2 linked regions of the Caenorhabditis elegans genome follow. The protein of the gene in region 1 interacts with the protein of each later gene in a pairwise test. Each region holds a gene or a part of one and is shown in the gene's direction. Other genes may lie near its edges.

Region 1 (4,299 bases):
GTTTCTAGCAACTAATTGTGCAATGAGAATAGGTCCCCTTACGTTGACTGCAAATGTTCTATCAATTGATTGTTGAGTAATTTGTCCAATTGCATGATTTGTTGCAATTCCAGCATTATTTACAAGACCATGAATTGGGAAATGTGGTACGATAAGTTTGAAAAGGACCTCTTCATTGGCACTCACATCTCCAACAATTGGAATTATTGTATATCTCTGAAATATTAATTTAATCAGATTGGTGTAATATTTTATATTTTCACTTACCAAAGAAGTAGTCTCTTTGACAAGACTCAACAAATTTGCTTCATTTCTCGCGAATGCAATAACCTGCGCTCCAGCTTTGGCCAACGAAAGGCAGATTTCTTTTCCAATTCCTGCAAATGTGATAAATTGTGATGTATGATTCACAATCACCCCATCGGAAGTCTTCATGAACGATTTTTATTCTATTTTTAGCTTTGTTCGCGTAATATATTTTTTACCGACTAGGAAGGATGTACTCTTGTTTTCAATGCCAGAAATTTCCTCAAACATAATCGTAAAATAATTATAATTTTCAAACGGAATGATAAAATGTTGATGATACAACAAATTTTTGATTAAAGATTATAGTGTTATCATATTATCGTATATCAACGTTTTCCTCTCCATTTGAACTAGATCATAATTACACCGGAAGTAATCAGAGAGACCATCGGTCTTTTATCACATTGGCCTAAATTTGAAATGTTAAATTAATATGGATTAAACATTTTGAAAACTTAAAAAGTACAAATCTTCATGAGATTTCAGAAAACTGATTCAGTGGCTCCAAATGTTTAATGGTTTTTTTTAATTGAGCAGATAATTTTTAACATTTCCTTACTTCAAACTACAAATAAACTTATACTAGACCAGGGAAAACCTGGTCAACTTCAATTCAAACCTTGCAAACATATCTAAACTCAAAACATAGAACAATCGTCGGAAAAGAGATTTGACGTTTTCCGTGAAGTTTTCAACTATAGGTCAAAAGTTGGGCAATAAGTTGGCACCAACTCCGAGTGGTACAAAAACTTATCTCAACATAACTTTCTGTCTAAATATCAAGTCTATTTCCTGTAGTGAGCTATCTCAATTTCATATTTGTTAAATGGAACCCAAAACAAGTGTATTTGGTTTGTATTGAAACAACCCATCTTAACTTTTTCAACATCTCAAGACTTACCTTGACTTGCTCCTGTGACAAGTATACGTTTGTCAGTGAAATCGTAATTGGCGGGCATTGTTTCGTCAGATGATATGAATATCAGAAAATGTGTAGTATCTACCCCATTCTACCCAACACGATCAACTTTTATATTGTGACTATTTTTGTTATCAATGCCATTCCTCTAACAATCTGCGTCCAATTGTGTATTGATGATCGTCATAATGGTTTCTATTTCGAGATCGACAGGGAAAACCCTTTCATTTTGCAAAGTATGTAACAATGAAACTATTGAGCACCGAAACAATGTACACAATTTTCTTTAAAACGCTCGTTTCAAAAAATAGTATATCATAAGCAGCAAAATCGAGTACTTTGTTTTTGCTGCTTATGATATATATTAGAGGATGAGTTCAAGAGCAAAAATGATCCCAAAAGTTCAAAGACTTGCAAAATATCATACTTTCCTGGTAGTTTCAGGTACCATCAAACGTATATGTCCCACTTAACATTAAGCTCAACCTTCCGTAAAAAGTTTGTTTTGGCTAGCTTCGTTAGTGTCTCCGTCTTAATTTTTTTTACATCAACAACCAATTTCAATATCACAAGATCTGCGTCCAAGAACAGCTGAAACTTCGTGACGAGTAACCATAGCAACATGGCATTTCACCTGTTCAATCTAGCCACTCAACTCGCCACATTTCTTATTCTCAATCTCAGCTTCAATAAAATCCCAACTATTGAAGTGATATAAAGATCGTGTAACCATGTCGACGGACATGGACCCAGTCCCGGGTCTTCCTTTACTTACCACTCTTTTTTGTAATTCAACAACTGTGAAGAAAAAAGTGAAGATAAGCTGTGATTTTCCTGATGAACTCTACACAAAGAAAGCATTTTACGGAGGACCAATTGGAGCTGGACTCTCCGCAATTGAAGTTTCAATCATCGCAGTTTTCTTTCTGCTTTCTTTGAAAATGAAGCGTGATATCACGAAGGTCTTTCTGACTATTGTCTACATTCCACTTGGACTGTCATCTCTGTTCAAGATTGCACTGGCTATCTACAGTATCATGCTTGGAGCTTATGGATGGTGGTACATGGTTTTTCTGATGTTCTTCAACTGGTTTTACACTACAGCAGTCCTCACTACATCCATTGGATCTGTGATTTTTCTCTCGGCGTTGATTGTAATTGCAAGGAAAAGACAAAACTTTAATCCTTGTGATTCATGGTAAGAAAATGGTTAGAATGACACAGCAAAAATCTTGAATAACATTTTTTGTTAAATGAATAGTTGATGCCTCCGATATTTTCCAGGACATCTTACTTTGCTGTGCTCTTCTTTGCTGCTATACTCTCTGGTTCATATCATTTCATCGCATCCCAATGGAACCCACTTCCTGCTTCTGCACTGTTTTTTACCTACCTTTTGTGCACAGTGGGAATCATTGCCGAGCTTCTAGTGGTAATCTATTTTTGATCTCTAAAGGTGGACATCAGTGCCCAGTTATACATTAGTGAGGTATTAAACAAAGTGTGAAAAAATCCAAAGAATAGTAGAAAATTTAACCGAAGCCAACAAGTGGTGTGATCCTATTTAAAGATCGTTTTCAGTGTAATTGTTTTGCACTTTACTTCTACACCCCTACACATATCTATTGACAGTAATTCAACAATTCCACCTTCAAATGAAATTTAAATATAGAAAATCAAAAATGTTTTCCAGTGCTTGTGTGTTGGATTAATGTGCAAACCAAAACCAGCAGCCGGAACAAACATGGCAGTTCTGACTGGTGATCCAGTTGTCGATGATGCACGTAGCCGTCTTGGTTTTGGAGCAGCTGCTGTAATTGTAATGAATATTCCTCAATGGTTTGAGTTTTGTAAGTTTTTGCAACTGAATTGAATTTTAATTGGTTTTATCGTATTCTTTTCAGATGTGAAAATCGCCGAACTTTTCGCGCCATACCTTTGGAACTCGGACGATGAAAAAACTGTATACTACACTGCACTGGCAATTCAACTTCTGACATTTGACACTGTTCGTTTGTTCATGAGCCTGTTCATGCTAGTTGCCTTCTTCCTAACCGTTTCATCAAGATTTGCCATTGATCAATGGATTCGTCGTCAACATCACCCAACTGGAAATCCAACCGCCACACAGAACAAGGTCTTCATCGCAACCCAAAATCAACCATTGCTAATGGATACCGGAGAGAAAAAGAGTCCACCACCACCAACACCTCCAAATCCTCCAGTTAATCATGCTATTGCTCCAGTCGCTCAACATCCTCAACCCATGCCAATTCCCCACCAAGTACCTTCGCCAGCTCATGGTGCAGCTCATGGTCATCCACAAGCTCCACCAATGTATCCTGGAATCGGATTCGCTCCTGGTATGCTTCAACTTCCACAAAACATGCAAACAACAATTGTCTATACTCCATCAATGGCATATGATAACGGACATCCTGCAGCTCAAGTGAACTAAGAGCTTAAGAGTTTTAAGTTAATTTGAATTTTTCATTTTCACTAAATAAACTCCCTGTTAACAAATTTCAAAAGTTAAAATGAAAAACAACTCCGGTAAATGCATAATTACGACAGTAAAGTTATGATTTAGAACTCATTATAACTGTTTATTATGTGTGTTTAGCTTTTTTTTTAATTAGTAAAAACTAACCCTGTTTAATGCTCTCCCTAAGTATCACTTAACATACGCCAAAAGTACTCAATTTCCTAGAAAGGTCAAAATGCGGAAAAAGAAAAGTACACATTTCTCAGTGTACACTCACTTTTGCTACCTATTGCAACATGCTGGCACCGCTTAGCTAGCGGTTTTCCTCACCTCCGTGTTGATAAACAAAGAGTGCAGAGACAGTGGTCAGTACCTGGGGGGCAGTAACTAGGTACTTCCCCCCGTACTTCCTTAACCTACAAGATGGAAAAATGAAAGAGATGAGTGAAATTGAAATCTGAGAGAGTAAATGAAAGTAAGAGAGAGTGATCGAGCAAACAATGGACGCGCCAGTCGCGGCCGCGGCCATGGCTCTCTCAAGTACAGTGAGGATTACTGTCCATTCGAAACGAGAGAGGTGCTTTCC
Region 2 (5,329 bases), on another chromosome or scaffold:
GGCACTTGAAGATGAGTACATCCCGAGTAACATTGGAGAAGATCTTGGAGGGGTACGTTAGATATATGATATATTTATACATATATGTAGAGTTTAAACCTAATTTCAACACCTAAATATTTCAGGCTAAAGCTGCATTAGAAGGTATGCATAATCCAGTTGCTTCTCGCCTTCAAAGATCTTTTCTCAATACATGTGAAGATATGCACACAACTATCAAATTAAGATTCTAATTTTTTTGTTTCAGAATATTTAGACGTTGTTTTTTGTTCATCTAGGCTCCTTATTTTTTAGGCTCCTTATTTATTAATTTGTTCTTTTTTTTTTCAAATTTGTAGTAGCTCCCCGAATTGTTTGTCCCCATCTCTAAACATAATCATTTGAGTTCATCATCGTTGGATCTCTACAGATCAATCTTTCGCCTTTTCTTTCTTCCCCCGATGACGTTTTTCTTCCTCCAAAATACCGATTTCAACTGTTTTTATTTCGCCCTCTCACTATGTTCATGTTTTTGAAAGAATAAATTGCTCTCTGACTTTTTTTTTTTTTCTTGCTAACTGTGTCCCCAACCATCCTTTGTCCCCTGTTCCCTCTTCATTCTATTTCAACGAGCGGTCACCGATGTGACCAATAAGCGCAAAGGCACTAAGAAATTGGGAAAATTGAGAGAGGGTTGCGCCATGAAGAGACGCAAAGATTAACACAAGGGCACATTTACCTTTATTCTACCTACATCTATCCCCCAACACAACGGACACTATTTTATATCGGTTGCAGGGCGTGGGGAAAGGTCACCACCAACACTGCCCCAGTCTGATGTGATTCCATCCGGGTTTCGCAAATACTTTTTCAATTTCACGTTATTCAACATTTTTATGATAGAAATTCATTTTGAGCAAATGACATAAACAACATGAGATCATAGTGACAATGTTTTCAAATCCATATATTTTTTCGAGATGATTAAAGGTGGAGTAGTGCCAGTGGGGAAAGTGTTAAAAACTATTCCTATGGTGCCAAAAAGACCGAATATCATAATTAAACCTTTCAAAATTTTTTTTGAAATTTTTTATTTTATGTCAAAGAGTGGCAACTATTATATGTGTATTTAAACAAAATTCCCACTGGCGCTACAGTACTCTGCCTTTAAATGGAGTATTGCCAGTGGGAATTTCTACTCGAAAAGTCCATGAACGAATATCATAATAAAAACTTCGATTAAAAAAAAAAGTTTTGAATAGTTTTAGTAAAGTGACAAATTTTCGTGAAATCTGGAATTTTTTGGACAATTCACTACAATGTTGAAATAGAAATATTCGAAAAATAATTAAAATGTAATATATATGGAAATCTTCTCTGATCAGAAAAGAAAATAACATTTTGGCATTCTTCCAAAATGTGAGAACTTGCCACGTTTTGTCTGGAACATCCCTCATCCCAACTCAAATTGTTCAATTAAAAAGAACGGTGTCATGTCATGAAAAAAGAATTTAAAAGTGCAAACAAAAGAACGATTCATTTTTGTTTTCTTTGTGTTCATCTTCATTTTCTCAGTCTCTCTTTACCTCCTCCGCCTTCCCTGTTATCACTTATCATCTCATCATTTCCTTTACTCAAACATTCACTTTTAGCCTTGTTTCTCTCTTTCTCTCATTCATTTTCCGCTCAGTTTACCCACTTTTTTTGTTTCTGTTACCTGTTACTATTTCTTATCGCGCAAAACAAAAATCGATAATAATTATTGAATTAGTTTTTTTGAAATGAGAGCAAAATTTCAGTCAAAATGAACGGATTACTGCATATGCATGGTCCAGCTGTCAAAAAGCTTTTAGGTTGGAAAATTGGAGAAGACGAAGAAAAATGGTGTGAGAAGGCTGTTGAGGCATTGGTGAAAAAATTAAAAAAGAAAAATAATGGATGTGGTTAGTCAAATATATTTTTTAAAGGAATTTATAATAATTTAGGGAGGGACATTTCTGAAAAAGGGTCTCGACGCGCTTATGAAAGTTTCAAAACTATTTTTGTGATTACCTTTAAATTTACAGTAGAAATATTTGAGCCTCCTTCCTCTTAGTCTAATTTTTCTTACGATTTCTTATGATTTTCATTTTTTTTAACTTGCAAAAAACTATAAAAACAGTAAGAAGAAAGCACCAAAAAACAAACTTAACATTTTCGAATGTATTCGAAAATACTATTGGCGCGGCGAGACCCATCCGAATGTTAAGCATATTGTTACGGATACAATATAATATTATGATTAACATTTTCCGATGACCCTTTTCGATTCATGAATCAAAGTGCACCTTATTTATAAGTTAGATCATAAATATTAAAAAAAAAGAAATTCAACCGATCCATTTCAAATTCTAAATTCCAGGAACCCTCGAAGATCTGGAATGTGTTCTAGCAAACCCATGTACAAACTCAAGATGCATTACGATAGCAAAAAGTTTAGACGGTCGGTTACAGGTATGTGGCGCCGTTGTGGTTGCTTAACGTAAATTTGTTCGCTAATCAGACAACTGTGATAACTTTCAAAAATAACACTTTGGTTTGAAATAACGACTTTTTGACGCCAAACTTCCGGCTTTTCAGGTATCCCATAAGAAAGGTCTTCCACATGTGATTTACTGTCGAGTATGGCGGTGGCCGGATATAAGTTCTCCTCATGTAAGTTAATTGGATATATTAATTTGAAATTTTTGAATGTTCATTTCAGGAATTACGTTCAATTGATACATGCTCCTACCCATATGAATCTAGTTCCAAAACCATGTACATCTGCATTAATCCATATCACTATCAGAGGTTTGTTCTGAAAGTTGTTTAAAATTGGAATACATTTCAAAAATGAATAAAATTCCAGATTATCACGACCACAAGGCTTAAATTCTTCAATGCCATCACCACAACCAATATCATCTCCAAACAGTAAGCGTTGGATCTAAAAATTGTTTAAACATATCAGAATCTTCTATTAAAAAAAAACAACTAAACTCTCTTTAAAATTCTCTAGGGAAATTAAATGAAAAATACATAAAATTGCAGCTATCTGGCAGTCTAGTGGAAGCTCAACGGCATCTTGTGCAAGCTCGCCGAGCCCGTCGGTTTTTTCAGAAGATGGAGGAGAAGTGGTTAGTTTTTTTGCAATACACATTTTTGCAAAAATTATAATTTTCAGCAAGTTCACCAGCGACCTCCACCGTTCCGTCATCCCAAATCCTGGGCCCAAATTACGTATTTTGAGTTGAATTCGAGAGTTGGAGAAGTTTTTAAAGTGAGGTTTTGATTTTTCAAAACAAAACAAAATTGGAGTTTCAGCTAGTGAATCTGAGCATTACAGTCGACGGATATACTAATCCATCAAATTCAAATACAAGGTAAGATTTTGAAAGACATTCGAAAGTAGAAATAAATTGATTTTAAAAGTGAAAAAACCAAAAAATAATTAGTTTTTTTCGATTTCGGTCGGACTTCTAAAAAATGTTCTTACAAAATATAAATATTATTAGTTTGATTTAAATTTCCTCCATTAATACGGTATAATACATATCTTCTCTATAATATTATCATAGTTATTAAAAAGTGGACACTTCGAGTTAATTAACGTGAAAATTGCTGATTCGAAGCTTTAACTTCGAGAAGTTCTGAATAATAATAATTCTTACCGGTTTCTTTATTAAAATAATCCGGAAATTTCAGAATATGTCTTGGACAATTAACCAATGTGAATCGAAATGGAACAATTGAGAACACACGGATGCATATTGGAAAAGGAATTCAGCTTGATAATAAAGAAGATCAAATGCATATTATGATTACAAATAACTCTGATATGCCAGTTTTTGTGCAATCCAAAAATACGAATCTCATGATGAACATGCCACTGGTCAAAGTCTGCCGAATACCACCGCACAGTCAATTATGCGTTTTTGAGTTTAATTTATTTTTTCAAGTGAGGTTTTTAAAATTTAAAATTATTTTCATGCTATTCTTCAACAATTGTCAAAAATTAAGATGTTGGAACAGTCGTGCAACGATAGCGATGGATTGAATGAACTCTCCAAACACTGTTTTATTCGTATTTCTTTTGTAAAGGTTTGTTCTAAATGTTTGAATTCCTTGTAGATTTATACTTGTTAAATTTATCGTGAGATTTTCAAATGAAACTTCGATAAACAAATTTTCAGGGCTGGGGAGAAGATTATCCACGTCAAGACGTCACATCCACGCCTTGCTGGCTTGAACTTCGGCTCAATGTGCCACTGGCTGTAAGTTTTTTTGAGAAGGAATCGTATCTGGAAATTTATCAAATTATCAAAAATATTCTATAAAATTTTTGTACATTTTGTAAATATCATCCAAAATTAAGCCATATTTCTATTTTGGGTACTTTTCCGATTTCTGCCCCCCCAATTTTTTAAGTTCAATATTTCAATTTCAATTCTCACGTGAATGTTTATTTCAATACTAAATAACAAAAAAGTTAACGTTTCATTAATGAATATATCGAAAACATTTTGGGGGCAGAAATCGGAAAAGTACCCTATTTTGTTTGAGTTTTCTGTGAAAATGAAATATTTTCAGTATATCGATCAAAAAATGAAGCAAACTCCAAGGACGAACTTGATGGAACCAAATTCAATGACATAATGATTTGTTAAAAACGCTTTCCTTCTCGCAACCACCTGAATTCAGAATTTACCTACTCTAATGATGATACTTGTAACATGTTTTACATTTGCTGGTTCTTTTTAATTATGAAGATTTCTTTTAATGTTGTCATGTTCTTCGAACATTTACTTAACGAAATTCTCAGAATGATTTCGCAGTTTTTTTCGGTCACGACAAAAACGCCCCCTAATTCTTGGGATTTTTAATTGTTTACTCTGAAAATATGCTCGAAAATTTTGAGCAAATGATTATTTATAACAAATCCAATACGTAAAATTAACTATTAGATCCATTCTGGGAAACGTCCACAGACAGCTCCATAGTTCCAGAGATCGGATGCACCTTCATTTTCTGGATGCTTTACATAGTTGCAGAAGACGTCATTGATCAGCTCACTGCGAGCAGGGAATTGAGAAATTGAGAGTTGAAGGCAAGATTCAATGCTTCTGGAAATCATATTTAAAAAAAAACAACTTGCAACTGTAACTAACTTTTCAAAGATGGTCTGTCCTGGTTCAGTTGCAGACCAGCTTTTCCACATGAAAGTATTATCAGTATGCTTCTCATCAGTAGTGAAACCAGATGATGAATTCCTGCATTCTACAGTAGCCAAAACGGTTTTATCTGTAGTCTCGCAGTTCTTCAAACGATG

The links. The genes of interacting proteins can lie anywhere in the genome.
Region 2: the proteins of xbx-9 (region 1) and sma-3 interact in a two-hybrid assay, tested with the Caenorhabditis elegans proteins (one large-scale study listed by BioGRID).

Annotation. Positions count from the first base shown.
Region 1 is NC_003283.11:12,732,294-12,736,592, forward strand, and holds xbx-9 (XK-related protein), read left to right. Parts: upstream 1-1,889; 5' UTR 1,890-1,959; coding exon 1,960-2,426; intron 2,427-2,512; coding exon 2,513-2,660; intron 2,661-2,921; coding exon 2,922-3,078; intron 3,079-3,132; coding exon 3,133-3,686; 3' UTR 3,687-3,748; downstream 3,749-4,299. Other genes in the region: dhs-21 (L-xylulose reductase), read right to left, coding at 1-216, 268-377, 1,211-1,268.
Region 2 is NC_003281.10:6,860,418-6,865,746, reverse strand, and holds sma-3 (Dwarfin sma-3), read left to right. Parts: upstream 1-1,778; 5' UTR 1,779-1,783; coding exon 1,784-1,922; intron 1,923-2,380; coding exon 2,381-2,472; intron 2,473-2,598; coding exon 2,599-2,673; intron 2,674-2,722; coding exon 2,723-2,811; intron 2,812-2,869; coding exon 2,870-2,934; intron 2,935-3,051; coding exon 3,052-3,137; intron 3,138-3,184; coding exon 3,185-3,280; intron 3,281-3,324; coding exon 3,325-3,383; intron 3,384-3,705; coding exon 3,706-3,958; intron 3,959-4,020; coding exon 4,021-4,101; intron 4,102-4,193; coding exon 4,194-4,274; intron 4,275-4,590; coding exon 4,591-4,656; 3' UTR 4,657-4,773; downstream 4,774-5,329. Other genes in the region: cra-1 (N-terminal acetyltransferase B complex subunit NAA25 homolog), read left to right, coding at 1-52, 126-233. UniProt on the Caenorhabditis elegans protein: Involved in TGF-beta pathway. Plays a role in male tail tip morphogenesis.